4 linked regions of the Oryctolagus cuniculus genome follow. The protein of the gene in region 1 interacts with the protein of each later gene in a pairwise test. Links are inferred from orthologs where the notes say so. Each region holds a gene or a part of one and is shown on either strand. Other genes may lie near its edges. The genes, in order: KPNA3, MAT2B, ERCC3 and TSSC4.

Region 1 (2,657 bases):
AGGTACCTATTCAATAATGTCATGTTCTGTATTTTACATTTTACTGACTGCTTTGTAGGAATATTCTATCCATTTTTGAACAGAAAACAATTGCATCCTGGAATATTTAGTACAGATAGTGCTCTTTAGAGCAGGAAGAAATTATTCCAAGAATGTTAAGTCTTGTCCAAGGTGACAGAAATGTATAGTTAATAGAAGCAAAGTTGAAATCCATTTCTTCTTACATATTAATTCACTGTTTGTTACTGTTTTATGATGTTGCTTCTTTCTGTGAGAATAATAATTAGGATACATTTATTTAGGATTTTATGATATACTTTACATCCATTATCTTTGACAAATATTTTCCCTTTTTTCTGGTTTGTATAATACTATGTAAATGGGGAAAATACAGCTATAACCTAGTAAAAAAGACAGTTCAAGGAAGAATACTGCTAAAGTTTTAAATGTATAAACTTCAGCTTCTGATGCATGGAGTTAAGTGTATTGGAAATATATATGAAACCATTCTGTCATTATTGGTCTAAAAATTATTTCCCAAGTTTTATTGTAACTAGGTCATAAGAACCCTATTTACTTTTTTTAAAAAGAAGTTTTTAAAATTTAAAACTCTTTTCTTCTTTTTGTACCAGTTTTTGAGTTTCTAAAATGCTTTTATTTTTTTTTTTTTAAGTAATAGCATTCAGAAAGTAAAGAGGAAGACCCAAATTACTTTATGACATAGTATGATGACATTATAGCAGTCTGGAAAGACTTCAGATCTTACTGTCACTAATCTTCCCTATAACCTAAGTCTGTTGACATCTGTGTGCCACACTTTCATCTGTCAAATGGAGGGTTTGAGTTTTTCAGACTGCCTGCCTCAGGGACCAGGGTAACTCAAGAGCTTCTAAGGAAGAAGGAATTAGTGGCGTACTGGTCCCCAACCAGAGAAGCTCAGGTTTTTACCTGTTTTGTTTTTCTAATGACAAACTGTCATCTTTTGTGGGGTATAGGGGTGTCCAGAATTCCTTAGTATTTTCCATGATTAAAATGAGCACAGTTTTGATCATTGTCTCTTTAATTATTTTTATAAGGTTTGGAGAAAATTGAAGTTTTGCAGCAACATGAAAATGAAGACATTTATAAATTAGCATTTGAAATCATAGATCAGTATTTCTCTGGTGATGATGTAAGTATATATTAAAATATGTCTGCATATAAATTTGAACCTCTGTGAATTTAGTTTTCTTTTTATTTAAGGAAACGTAAGTTTTCTTAAATTTATATTCTATGTATATATACTTATGACTTACATTTATACTATATACTATTAAATACTCCAACCAGTAACTTCTTTTAAGTACTTTGAAAGTTCATTTTAAGATAAAATTATAGGCTGGCGCCACCGGCACACCAGGTTCTAGTCCCGGTCGGGGCGCTGGATTCTGTCTCGGCTGCCCCTCTTCCAGTCCAGCTCTCTGCTGTGGCTGGGGAGGGCAGTGGAGGATGGCTCAAGTCCTTGGGCCCTGCACCTGCATGGGAGACCAGGAGAAGCACCTGGCACCTGGCTCCTGGCTCCGGATCAGTGCGGTGCACCAGCCGCAGCGGCCATTGGAGGGTGAACCAACGGTAAAGGAAGACCTTTCTCTCTGTCTCACTGCCCACTCTGCCTGTCAAAAAAAAAAAGATAAAATTATAGAAAGTTCTTCAGGGGTTTTTCTACTTACTACTTTTTGAATTCTTTATTTAGTGGAGGATTAAGCTTGTGATTATAAAGTAAATTGAAAGTATATCTCACAAAAATTAAAAGGAAAATAAGAAAGGAAGGAGAGTGGGAAGTATCATTACATTCTTAAGCCGCATATATGAAATCTGTTCCCTTTATAAATAAATTTTAAAAAGAAGCAATTCTTGTTGCATTTAGAGTCTATTAACTGGGAATAAATAGAGATTATACAAATAATGTATAAATTGGTTAAATAAATCTACAGAGATACAAGAACTGAAGAAAGAGGCAGTTTTTAAATGTGTGTTCACTTTTGAGTTGTTATGTTTCTTAACAGAATTATTACTGGTTTACCCAAGTATGTTCATGTGGTTAAAGCATTCTTAGAAAATTCATTCCTAGGGGGTAAAAACTCAGTTCGGTTTATACAATAATGGTTTGGTATCATAACATAATAAGGGCATTTGTTCTTGCTTTTTATAGATTGATGAAGATCCTAGCCTCATTCCTGAAGCAACACAAGGAGGTACTTACAATTTTGACCCAACAGCCAACCTTCAAACAAAAGAATTTAATTTTTAAGTTCGTTTGAGTGCAGCATCTTTCCCACATCCAATACGAAGCACCACCAGATGGCTACCAAACGATAAGAACAACAGCAGCAAAAGGCTCCAAAAACACAACATGCCTCTTCTTTTGATGCTTCTAAAGCAAGCCATGTCTCAGTCACTTTGCAGTTGCCAAAAGTCACTCTCACATGGACTGTAAATGCATATGCATGATTTCCTAAACTGTTTTAGAATTCTCCTTAACAATCTCAACTACCCTATTTTTCCTTGTTCCCTGGTGCCACATGCTGACAACTGCAGTCTCCAGTTTAGAATATTCCATAGTGGTGGCATGTCAGCTGCCCACTGATACTCCTTTGGAAAATGGTGCGCTGTGGATC
Region 2 (4,362 bases), on another chromosome or scaffold:
ATAATTGTATGTGCTTGTCCATAAATTCTCTTCATGTTGAGCACTTTTTATTTCTCTAGAAAGACTCTTTGCATTATACCTAGCAAATAGAAACTGAAAACAGAATTCCCGGTTTTTAAACAAGAAGGATTAAGAAGATCTTGGGTCCGGTTCCCCTTCCTCCTTTATCTTGCCCTTCTCTTTGTTGTCTGTTGATTATGCTACTTTAGTGCCCTGGGCTCTCTCAATGATTCCCTAAATAATGCTAAATCTTTGATCATCAAAGATCCAGCTTAAAAAAAACAATAGAAAAGGAGGCTCCTGTACTGTTTCAAAGAAAACTTTTTTGTTGATGTGAATAAGGAATTCTTAGTTGGGGGTTGGGTAGAAAGGAAAAGTCACGGGCTCTGGCGTAGTTAAATTTTTCCAAAGTCTCTACCATTTTTGGTTTATTAGACGGTGGTTATGAAAATAAGGCCTTCTTAGGAAAATCCTAGCGGCGATCACGTTTGTGGGCGACTTACAGATCTCATTATTCCGGGGCCCTAAACAAGAACAACGTAGCCCTTCCGTGGAAGCTCGGCCAATTCTAAGCCTAATGAGCTGAGGACTTTTTTCTGGGTAAATTTCAGAGGCATACCGGCGGGCGCGGGACATCTTGCTATTTTTGAATGACTGTAAGAGAGGTCACTTGGGTACTAGGCTGGTCACAGCACACAGGGCTATCGCTCCTTACTTTTAGAAGGCGATACAGGCAGCAGAACGCCCGGCATGTCATCCTACCCTTGGTTTTTCCTTTAACCGTGGGCGCTCGCCCAGGCTGCGCTCGCTTAGCCGCAGGCTGCAGCTGGAAGTCGGTGCGTCCCGCAGGGTGCTCTGGACTCCTGCTCGATCCACCGAAAAGGAGGTCCCTGGTTCTGCCACCAGTTTCTCATTCTAATTATGGGCAAAGTCCAAGAATGTTTGCTTTGAAGAGGTGCCCAGAGATTTCATATTTCTCTCCCCCTACACCTTTTTATTTTTAATTAGTTAAATATGGTGCCATAGTTTCGAAATTTCACACATACTTTTTTTGAAGCATCCCAGAAAGACGAATAAGTTGCTGAGGTGTGAGTGACTCAGATAACACTTTTATTTTTATTTTATTTATTTTATTTTTACCTCTTTCTAAAGCTTTCAACAGCCTACGGGTCTAACGATCCATTTTTATTGTGCTTCCTCCCTGCCCCCTCACCTCCCCTGACTTTAAAAATGCTTTATTCTACTTTAGTATAGTACACGTACAGTTGATTCTTATGCACTGCGTATTAGTCTGAAAAGTTAAGACTCTAGGTTATCCAATTCAATGTTTCCCCAGTTAAGAAGAAAAAACGAAACAGAAGAAAAAACGAAACAGAAGAAAAAGCACGTATACAAACAACATTTGCGTTCTTTGCTTAACTTCAGCGTCTTTGTTTTGTGTATCACTTTAAGACTTGGCGCGTGGGCTGGGGAGCGTCCCCTGAGCGCCCGCCCGCTTTCTGTGACGTATCCAGGGCGTGGCCAATCAAAGGGTGCAGCCAAGGCAGCGGAAGCCGGAAGTGGCGAGCTGGGGTCGGCTACGGCCTAGAAGAGGCGGGCCGAGGGCATCTAGTTGAGGCCCGCGGCAGTCCTGGGCTGTAGGAGGCGGCAGCCGCTCGGGCGGCGTTGTGAAGACGGCGGGTATGGTGGGGCGGGAGAAAGAACTTTCCATTCACTTTGTTCCTGGGAGCTGCCGGCTGGTGGAGGTGAGGGTTTGCCTTGGTGGTCTTCCATGGGAACCGGGGTAGGGGTTGGGAGCCCAGAGGAGACGAAACAGGTCCGGGAGGTTCGGGGCGGTTTTCCAGGCGCACCCCATCGGGATCAGCGCCCCGGCCGGGAGTCGTCTCGGCGTCGCCCTCGCAGCCCTGGAGTAGAGGGCGGCGCCACCGAGTTTGTTTACCTCGGCGCACAGCAGCGCTGCGGCTTTTGGGTCGAGGTTTTACTTTTGAGTTCTCAGTCTCTGCTCCCACCAACGAAGAAGGAGATTTTACAGTTGTTTGCGTTGTGGTTCTTCATTGTTAGTTCGTGATTTTACAAGTTCTAGCTTTGAGAAAGGACGAAGGAAGGTAGCTCTTTGGAGGTAACAGTGCTGGAAGTGATAACTTGCCGAAGTCCTGGTTTGTGCAGAGCTCTACGCTATGGATTTTGCAACCATTATTTTAATCTTCATAGCTGTAAGATACATTTTATAGGCGATAGAAGGGAGTCAGAATAAGACAATTGCCCGAGTTCATTCGGTGAGGTTGGAGCGAGGGATTCGTGGTCGACTGTCTTGGGCTTTGAACCACTAAAGCAGTAGCATTGAAGGGAGACTATCTGCGTGTTAGGGAGCTCCATCCATGAGGTCCTCCCCACATCCAGCACCTCCATTGCATTTCAGGCCTTCCAGCATCCAGAATATATCCAGCTGTGACCATAACTGCTAATGTCCAGACCTGTATGTCTTCTGGATATGAGATGGTTGTTTTAAACATGCACTTTTTTTTATGCTTTCAAAGTTTAATGAATTCAGTGTTTTTAAATCGTCTTGGTTCTTTAAGGTAGAGTTAGGATAGATGAGCTGTCTAACCTGTATTCCTGCGAGCCCCAAACAGTACCAGTTCATCTCTTACAGAGTGTTTACATATGTATGCGCATGCATGGCTCTCTGTGTGTTTGTGTGTGTAAAGCTTAATCTGCTTATACAATAGAAGTTCAGTAAAGGGAAAATGGCTTTTAATGGTTTCCTTCATTAAAAAGGATAGATCTAAGAGCTCAGACACATACTACGCTCTCAGAACCCGTAGTGTTAAAACTCATCTTGTAAGAATGAGGACTGCCCGAGGATTAATGTCAAGAGAAGCAGCTGGTGGAGGTGGCTGATAGGGTGACAGTAGAAGTTAGAACAATCCTGCCTAGGTATTAAGGAATCTTAAAGTTTATTAAAGGCCAGGTCTACCTCCTGGGAATCTTGTGAGAATCCACTTAAAAAATGACTATGAAACTTTGCCAAATTTATAAGTTTTTTAAAATATACTACTAAAATTAACATTCCTTTCCAAATATTACTGATAGTCCACTGTCTTTTAAAACATTTTTTGAAATCTTCTTTTTTAGTTTATTTTAATTAATTCATTTGGAAAGTTAGAGTTACTAAGAGGGGGAGACACAGAGATCTTCCAGCCACTGATTGACTCCTCAGATGGCCGCAATGGCCAATGCTGGGTCAGGCACTGGCCAGGCCGAAACCAGGAGTTTTGTTTTGGTCTCTCATGTGGGTAACAGAGGCCCAAACACTTGTACTGTCTTTTGCTGCTCTTCCAGAGCATTAGCAGGGAGCTGGGCCAGAAGTGGAGCATATTGGACAAGAACCAGCAACCATATAGGATGCCAGGTCTCAGGCAGGCAGCGCTATCTGTCATGCCACAGCACTGGCCTGGCTAGAACGTTTTTGATAGTTAATGAGCTAAAGTGGAAATCACTGTCCCAGAGCACTGTTGGACCATTTGGACAGCGTTTGTCTCCCATTATCTTTATGAGTACAATTTCATATAAATTTTTTAGCACAATATGAACAGTAGCTCTACATTGATTTGTCCAATAATTTTCAAGAAAATTTTGGTATCTAAAAATGTGATTGCCTAAAGTGGTTGAATTCCATACAACTAAGTTTATACAAAAAGAGACAGGTACATTTAGAGTACCTTAAACTTGTTGAGTATACTTAATATAACAGAAATTGAGAAAGAAGAATTTTCACACAAGCATTTTGAATTTTTTATTGTGGTTTGGATGACCTAGGCAACTTTTTATTCTTTCATTCTGAGTCTTTTGGAATGTTTGGATATTCCTGTGTTTTGAAGGACCAAAATAAATTCTAGGAATGATTAACCAAAGTAATTTTTAGAGGAAACTTTTTATTCCTAAGCTATTTATATACAAAACCCAACAAAACAGTGTACTAAAGAAAACTTTAGGCAGAGTTCTGTTTATATAGAAACAAAATTAGAGACATTTTTGTTTGGCATCTCTTAATTTCAGAGTGTTGCATATTCTATTTGGCAGCCACGATTAACTTAAGATCAAACTAAGAAATAAAAAACGTGTTTCTGCTGTTAAATAGATGGCAAAAGGTGCCCTTGTCTCTAGGGAGAAGTGTGAAAAGGACGAACAGTTAAGTTACTTAAGTAAGTGAAGCCCTTTTTATCCTATTCAGACCCTTTGTTGTAAGGATAATATAGAAAATTTTAGAATTGTAAAACTTTAAATATGGAAGAGTGTTGGTCATCTTGTCCATTTACCCACAAGGAATTAGATCAAAAAGGATGTAATTTCTCAACCTAC
Region 3 (3,529 bases), on another chromosome or scaffold:
CAAGTACAGTGGCACTGTTGCAAAGGTTTTGACTGGGGAGGGGCAGGCTTCCTGCACTCAGTAACTATAGTAACAGTGCCCAGACTGCCGTGGGGAGGCGCTTCAGAGACTGACTGCTGCCAGGAGATGGCCCCATCTCTCCTGCTGGGACCAAAGAGCCAGGCTTATCTGAAGAGGCATCTGGACTATTGGGATGTTTGAAAACAGGAAGGTTAGTGGGTATATCTTGAATCTGTACCTTACTCAGATGTTTCTAGGAGACAGCTCCAGGATTATACCTGAAATGGAAACAGGGCTAAAAGTGGAAATAGCATGGATTTGGGTACCAGATCTGCTTTGTGACCTTGGGCAAGTCATTTCCTCTGAGCCTTGGTTTTTCACATCAGAGTAGGGGTAACCATCTTACCTTGCAGGATTGATGGGAGGGTGAGCTTACATAGCATGGGCTACAGCTGGCTGCCCAGTGCACAGTTGTTTATAAACTGTCAGGATGTCACTGCTGACAGGTGTGCAGCCAATTCATTGCTTGCTCCTTAATCTTCTTAAAACAGAAGCAAATCTGATTTGAAAGCTCCTTTGAATTTGATTAGAATTACATTTTCTTACTCCAAGTATCCTTTTTTTTTCCTAAAGATTTATTTATTTGAGAGGTAGTTGAGTAAAATAGTATAAGAGAGACAGAAAGAGGTCTCCCATGTGCTGGTTCACTTCCCAGTGGCCACAAGGCCAGAGCTGTGCCAATCCGAAGCCAGAAGCCTCTCCCACGTCTCCCAGTGGATGCGGGGGCCCAAGCACCTGGGCCATCTTCCACTGCTTTCCCAAGCCATCAGCAGGAAGCTGGATTGGAAGAGGAGCATCAGGGACGTGAACTGCACACACATGGAATGCCAGCACCACAGGCGGAGGCTTAGCCTACCACGTCAGAGCGCTGGCCCCTCAACACAGTATCTCCTGAGATCAGACATCCGGTCCCTCTATTTGCCACTGTGAGCTGTAGGAAGCAGTTGATACAGCAGCAATGTACGCATGCTCTATCTGATGACATTTGAACCGTGAAAGTAAAAGTGTTCAGATTTTCCTGAAAGACAGGTATATTCTGTCCTAGTTTCTGTGATAAGTGTCCCTGTTACAGAGGCTTTCCTCTCTGAGCTGTTTTTTTCCCCAGCAGTTTTGTTGAGATAAAATTCAGAGATTATACAATTGCTTCATTTTGAGTATACGGTTCAGTGGTTTTCAGTGTATTTTGAAAGTGTAACCATTACCCCAATCTTTAGGATATTTTCCTCACCCCCTGAAAGGAATCCTGCTATTCAGTAGTCATTCCTTGTTTCCCATTCCTCTGCACCCCCAGGCCCAGGGACCTGCCCACCTGTCTTCATGGCTGTCTGGACAGTTTGGAAGTAGAGGCGTACAGATTGGGGCCCCTGTGACTTGCTGCTTTTGCTCAGCGTAATGGACTACCCATATTGTGCCAGTATCTCATTCTTTGTTTTTTGCTTATTTGAGAGAAAGAGCACCCTCCTGTCCACTGGTTCACTCCCCAAATGCCTGCAAAGGCTGGAGCTGGGCCAGGGCTGGAACCAGAAGCTGGGAACACAGTTTCGGTCTCCCACATGTATGGCAGGAACCCAGGTACTTGATTGCTGACTGCTGCCTCTCAGAGTCTGCATCAGCAGGAAATTGAAGGGAGGAGTCAGAGCTGGGCCTGGAACCCAGATAGTCTGGTATGGGACACAGTGTCTTAGCTGGCAGACTAAATGCCTGTCCCCCCCCCCCCCCCCTTTATTTTTTTTTGGACAGGCAGAGTGGACAGTGGGAGAGAGAGACAGAGAGAAAGGTCTTCCTTTGCCGCTGGTTCACCCTCCACTGGCCGCCGCGGCCGGCACGCTATGGCCAGCGCACCGCGCTGATCCGATGGCAGGAGCCAGGTGCCTATCCTGGTCTCCCATGGGGTGCAGGGCCCAAGCACCTGGGCCATCCTCCACTGCACTCCCTGGCCACAGCAGAGAGCTGGCCTGGAAGAGGGGCAACCGGGACAGAATCCAGCGCCCCGACCGGGACTAGAACCCGGTGTGCCGGCGCCGCAAGGCGGAGGATTAGCCTAGTGAGCCGCGGCGCCCGCCTCCCCTATAATTTTTATTGCCACATAATATTCTGTGTGGACATACCACATTTTATCCATTCATCTTGACTTTTAGGCCATTTCTACTCTTTGATTTTAGAATAATGCAAATCTCTGTGGATAGATCTTTAGTTTTCTTGGTCTTGCTTATATGAGTGTGCCTAGGAGAGAAGTTGCCTGGTCATGTGCTGGTAACTGTGTTAACTCAGCGTTTTGGTGAACTGCCAGGCTGTTTTCCAGAGCAACTGCCACATTTTACATTCTCACCAGAAGTAGATGACGGTTCCAGTCTCATGCTTGACCACAGGAATATGTCTTGCTTTTTACCTCTACTGTGGAAGTGGGAGTAGATGACAGGCCACATGTGTTTGCTTGCCTCTCCCTGATGATCTGTGGTGCTGATGTCTTTCCCGTGCCATTGGCCATTTGCACACTGTCACTGGAGAAATGTCTTTACATGCTTTGCCCGCGTTAGAGTTGAGTGAGTGGTCTTGTTGAGTTTTCACAATTCTTGACGTAGTCTAGAACAAGTACAGGCAGGTCCCGTACCGGATGTGTACTTTGCAGGTTGTCTTTTCTCCATCTTCATGGTGTCCTTAGCATGAGAGGCTGCCATTGTGATGGAGTCGTGTGCAGGGTCGAGGTGACCGTGGCTGCCTGCCGAGCTTCCCACGCCAGTGCTGCCCAAGAGCCTCTGTGCTGCGGCCTTCTAGTGGCTCCTGTTGTTTTCCTGACTTCTCTCACCTTCTCCCCACAGGCATGGTCGCAGAGGAGTACAATGCCTTCTTCTACTCGCTGGTGTCCCAGGACACACAGGAAATGGCTTACTCTACCAAACGCCAGAGGTTCTTGGTAGATCAGGGTTATAGCTTCAAGGTTGGTATCTGTGTGGCCTCTGCTGAAACCAGGACCAAGGCCTTTTGGGTACCCCGGCCTGCAGGAGAAGTGGGGACTGTCAGCAGCAGTCTGGGACAGCCCACAGGCAGGTGGTGGGCACTGGGATCAGAGGCCTTGCTGCAGACTCTCTTGGAGTGTGCATGAGTTACTGGGGCAGTGTCAGCTGGCACTGAGTCTGAGCGTCTTGGGGTCACTTTCTCAGGGGGTGCCCCTCCACATGGCTGGAAGAGCTCTCCCTTTAATCAGCTGTTACACCCTGCGACTCCAGGCCTCAGGGCCCTCTTACTGCGAATCAGCCAGTGAGTAGTGGGGAATTTTAAAGCTTTCACCAACTCTCATTGGCTGAGGCATTTGGTTTCCTTCCTGTTAACACATATACTGAGTTTATGGCAGGATTTAGTGTCCCAGAGGCCTTTATTTGTGACATGGATGAAGAGTCCTGGAAAGGAAGGAAAGAGCCTTTGTGGTTCACTGGAGAACTCTCTGGAACACACAAGGTCCCCAGTTCCT
Region 4 (4,046 bases), on another chromosome or scaffold:
AGGCCGCCTAGCTGGGCCCTCCGGGGTGCCGCCAGGGCAGGTGGGAGCTGAGGTTGCCCTCCCCGCAGGAGGACTGCCACCAGAAGATTGACGAGCTGTTCTCGGGGAAGCTGTACCTCATCGGCATCGCGGCCATCGTGGTGGCCGTGATCATGGTGAGCGGGCAGGCGGGCGGGGGGGGGGGGGCCGCCCCGCCCCGCCGGCCCCCGCTGACCGCCCCCCTCCCGCCAGATCTTCGAGATGATTCTGAGCATGGTGCTGTGCTGCGGCATCAGGAACAGCTCCGTGTACTGAGGCCGCGCTGCCCCCGCCGCCCCCGCCGCCTGTACAGAGCCACCCCGCTCGCTCCGCACGCAGCTGCCGGCTCTCCGGGCTCTGCGTCTCCCCCGGAGCCCCTGTGGCTGACGCCGCGTGCCAGGGGCACCTGCCGAGGGGGGCCGGGCCTTCTTAATCCTGTTGCTTTCCTGCCTGTTCCGGGAGCACCTGTCCTTTCTAACGTCACCTTCAACTGTAACGCCCGCAGCTGGACACAGTCTGTAATAAAGGAGGAGACATCGGGCATGCTAACGCGCTGGCCGCCGGTCCTGGCCGGTGGGGTCTCAGTGGGTGGGGCGCTGGGGACAGAGGGGTCTGGACTGTGCCGAGCCCGCGCGGAGCGGACGGGACCAGGACCCAGGGAGCGTTCCGCGGGTGACCGCCCCTGGGGCACACCGGGCTGCGGGAGGGGGCGGCCGGGCTCCGGGCTCCCTGCGGGCAGCAGGCCCCAGGTCTGCTGAGACGTGGGTGGCCCCCCGGGCCTCAGCAGCATCTCGGAGCAGCCAGAGCAAAGGCCCCGCCTCGGCCTGGACAGCAGCCAGGGAGGACTGAGGCTGGCCCTGCGGAGGGCGGGGGCTCCTGCTGCTCCCAGCCCCTGGGGGACAGGGTTGCCTGGGAGAACTAGGTGCAGCGAGGAGTCCCCTCCACTCCCCCCGGGCCGTGCTGGCCCAGGCTGGCCTCTGGACGTGCAGGGCCTGGGGCCCCGGGGCTGCCAGGACAGGGTGGGTGTCCCAGAGGTGCCTGGGCCGTGCATGACCCGCCTGCTGTCCGCGGCTGGCCCCCCCGGGGTCCTTAGACGCCGGTCTCCCCGTGAGTGCCAGGACAGCAGGCCCCCGCAGGAGAGGGACTCAGGAGCTGGGGTCTGGCGGGCACCGAGCAGCCCCAGCAGAAACGGGGGCAAAAGGCGCTGCCCACTTGGGGCCTGGTGGCCAGCGAGAGGCCTGTCTGGGAGAGCCCGGGGCCGGACCTGCCCAGGATGGCCACGCCCAGCCCCGGCTGCCTGGGCCGCTGGGCAGCGCTCCGCGCGCCTGTCCCTGAGGGCCGGGGAACCGGAGAAACATCGTCAGAGGCTCCCGACGTCCAGCGCAGCCCACAAGCTCAGTGGCTGCCAGGCCCGCCCCGGGCATTGACGGATGGACCCGGGAAGGGGCAGCGACTTCCGCTTTCGGAAGGCCGGAAGTGCGGGCAAGGGCTTCTGCTCCACCGTGCGCGATGACGCACTTCCTGTCTACGTCGGCTGCTGTCTCCGCACCTCCCGGTAGGTGGCACTAAAACTCCGAGAGGCCTGCGCCTCGCCGTTAGTCGAGCATTCTGGGAGTGGCGGTTGGCTCCGCCCCTTCCTCCGTGTCAACGCTAGGCCTTTTCCGTTTCCGGAACCCGCTCCTGGCGCAGGGCTTGGAGGTGTAAGGAGAAGGGCGTGGGCGCATGCGCACTGGGGCACACGTCCCGTCAGGGCTCGGGAGCTGAGGCCCGGTGGCTTATGGGAGATGTAGTTCTTCGGTCGCGGAGGCCACAGTGCGCGGCTAGCGGGGGACTCGGTTTCCCAAAAGGCTGAGCGCGGCCGGCGGGGAACCCGAATGAAGGCGGCCGGCACGAGGAGCCGGTAAGTCCGGGAGGGCCCTCTGCGCGGCCGCCCTGACACGGCGAAGGTGTGCTCTGCTCCGCGGCAGAGGCGGCCGGAGGCAGCTAGAGCCGCTGCCCCTCGGCCCGGTCGCGGGATCCCGGCCTCCCCAGCCCAGGGCGCGCTCGCCGCGGTCCCTGCTGGGCCCAGCGCTCCTCCTGCGGCTGCTCCGCGGGAGGAGGTGCTGCGCCGCGCCTGGGTCGGCCCGAGGCGGGGAGCGCCGTGTGGAGGGTGCGCCCGGGCTGTCCTGCAGCCAGCCCCTCGGGAGCGCGGGTGGGGGTCGTGTCCGGGGCCGCGGGGGCGGCCTCTGCCCAGCAAGGCCGCTCGAGCTGACCCTTGAGCGCGCTCGCGAGCCCGACCCCGCCGGGGTGGCCGCGGCCCGGGCCCTGGGGCCCAGCCCTGGGCTCCGCCTCGTCCCAGGCAGCTTGCGGCCGGCCCCGCGCTCTGACGCGGGCTCTGTCCCCCGCCCCTCACCCAGCCCCGTCTGAGCAGCGGAGCCGAGGCCACCGAGGAGCCCACGCCGGGGCCACCGAGGACCTCCGTGGGCGGACGGGGGAGGTGAGAGCCGGGCCGGGGAGGGGCCCGCTGCTGCGGCCGCGTGGGCCGGCGACCCTGAGCTGCCCCCTCCCCGCGGGCTGCTTCCCCGCAGGTGCCGTGGGACGGGGCCATGGCCCAGGCGGGGGCCGAGGGGGACGCCGCGCCCCCCGACGACGCCGACTTCCCCAGCGACTCGGGCTCGGACTCGGACTCGGACCTCAGCTCTGGCGGTGCCGAGGCGGCCGCGCCGTGTGTAGACCTGCCCGCGGACTCAGAGGACTCCGAGCCCCCCTCGCCGCCCCCGGCGCCCCCCGCCCCTGCGGCCCAGCCGTTCTGCCTCCGGGGCACGAGCTCCGCCTTCTCCCGGCGCAGCCACAGCGTCTTTGACGGCCTGGAGGGGGCGGCCGGCGCCCCCAGGGGCCCGCGTGTCCCCGACTACGTGGCGCACCCGGAGCGCTGGACCAGGTACAGCCTCGAGGACGTGGCCGAGGCCAGCGAGCAGAGCAACCGGGCGGCGGCGCTGGCCTTCCTGGGCGCGCGGGGCCCGGCCGCCCCCGCCGCCTGCGCGCCCGCCTTCAACCAGGACTCCTCCAGCTGCGGGGAGGGCAGGGTGGTCTTCACCAGACCGGCCCGAGCCCGCGAGCCCAGGCCCGAGAGGAAGAGGGGCCTGGGGCAGGGCGCGCAGCCGGGCAGGGGCCTCCCGGGGACCGAGGCGGTGGAGCTGCCCCACCTGGCCGGGCCCGGGAGCCCAGAGGCCGAGGAGAGGGGCGGCACCCCCGGCGGCCTGCAGGAGGAAGACGCGTCCCCCGCGGCTGCCCACAGAGGGGCCTCGCCAGGGCCCCCCGGCCTGGACGCCGTCGGCTTCCACGGCGCCAGGAAGCGGAGCCGGGAGCACTTCCGGAACAGGGGCAGCGGCTGCGAGGGCCCAGCGGCTGAGGGGTGAGCGGGCCGGGCCGCGGCCGGGGGCCCGGGGCTCCATGGGTGACAATAAAGGTGTTGGGTGTCCTCGGGTCCTGTCTGTCGTCTCACTCCCCCTGGGCCCCCAGCCCCGCTCGGACCCTGCAGAGTGACGGCCCCAGTGTTCCGCTTCTCTGGGTTTTTGTTTGCTTTTAATTTTGAAAGATAGAGAGGTCTTGCGTGCACTGGTCCACTCCCCAGAGAGCCGCAGTGGCACAGGGGCCGTCTGCTGCTCTCCCAGCTGCAGCGGCAGGGAGTTGGGTCAGAGTGGAGCAGCCGGGACTGGAACCACACATACAGGAGGCGGCTTTACCTGCTGCGCACAGTGCCGGCCTGGAGGGGCTGAGGGGTCCCCCTGGGCTGGGGTCAGGCCACAGGAGTCCAGCATGGTGCCGGACAGGCCTGAGTGGTCCTGTAGCCGTGCCCACGCTCGCCTCTGGCTGTGCCCCACCCAGACTGTCAGGACGGGGTGCAGAGCCGGCATCTGGGGTCTTGTGCCAGGACTCCAGCCCAGCATGGGCCATGGGGGACAAAGGGTGGGTTCCCCAGGTCTGCTGGGGGAGGCCCACGGAGCGAGCATGTCTGTCCCCCACTCCCTTGACCCTTGAGGGCTCGG

Evidence for each region.
Region 2: the proteins of KPNA3 (region 1) and MAT2B interact in binary tests that used the Homo sapiens proteins (3 or more experiments, as listed by UniProt). The two-hybrid records come from large-scale screens. The link is inferred for Oryctolagus cuniculus from reciprocal best matches to the Homo sapiens genes KPNA3 and MAT2B.
Region 3: the proteins of KPNA3 (region 1) and ERCC3 interact in binary tests that used the Homo sapiens proteins (3 or more experiments, as listed by UniProt). The link is inferred for Oryctolagus cuniculus from reciprocal best matches to the Homo sapiens genes KPNA3 and ERCC3.
Region 4: the proteins of KPNA3 (region 1) and TSSC4 interact in binary tests that used the Homo sapiens proteins (3 or more experiments, as listed by UniProt). The two-hybrid records come from large-scale screens. The link is inferred for Oryctolagus cuniculus from reciprocal best matches to the Homo sapiens genes KPNA3 and TSSC4.

What each region holds. Positions count from the first base shown.
Region 1 is NC_091440.1:69,007,233-69,009,889, reverse strand, and holds part of KPNA3 (importin subunit alpha-4), read left to right. Parts: intron 1-1,076; coding exon 1,077-1,171; intron 1,172-2,191; coding exon 2,192-2,290; 3' UTR 2,291-2,657. UniProt on the Homo sapiens protein: Functions in nuclear protein import as an adapter protein for nuclear receptor KPNB1. Binds specifically and directly to substrates containing either a simple or bipartite NLS motif.
Region 2 is NC_091437.1:50,261,377-50,265,738, forward strand, and holds the start of MAT2B (methionine adenosyltransferase 2 subunit beta), read left to right. Parts: upstream 1-1,508; 5' UTR 1,509-1,682; coding exon 1,683-1,745; intron 1,746-4,362.
Region 3 is NC_091434.1:122,308,150-122,311,678, forward strand, and holds part of ERCC3 (general transcription and DNA repair factor IIH helicase/translocase subunit XPB), read left to right. Parts: intron 1-2,879; coding exon 2,880-2,998; intron 2,999-3,529. UniProt on the Homo sapiens protein: ATP-dependent 3'-5' DNA helicase/translocase. Binds dsDNA rather than ssDNA, unzipping it in a translocase rather than classical helicase activity. Component of the general transcription and DNA repair factor IIH (TFIIH) core complex.
Region 4 is NC_091432.1:1,158,954-1,162,999, reverse strand, and holds TSSC4 (U5 small nuclear ribonucleoprotein TSSC4), read left to right. Parts: upstream 1-1,441; 5' UTR 1,442-1,527; coding exon 1,528-1,573; exon of another isoform or gene 1,574-2,414; coding exon 2,415-2,494; exon of another isoform or gene 2,495-2,585; coding exon 2,586-3,416; 3' UTR 3,417-3,483; downstream 3,484-4,046. Other genes in the region: CD81 antigen, read left to right, coding at 69-155, 232-294. UniProt on the Homo sapiens protein: Protein associated with the U5 snRNP, during its maturation and its post-splicing recycling and which is required for spliceosomal tri-snRNP complex assembly in the nucleus.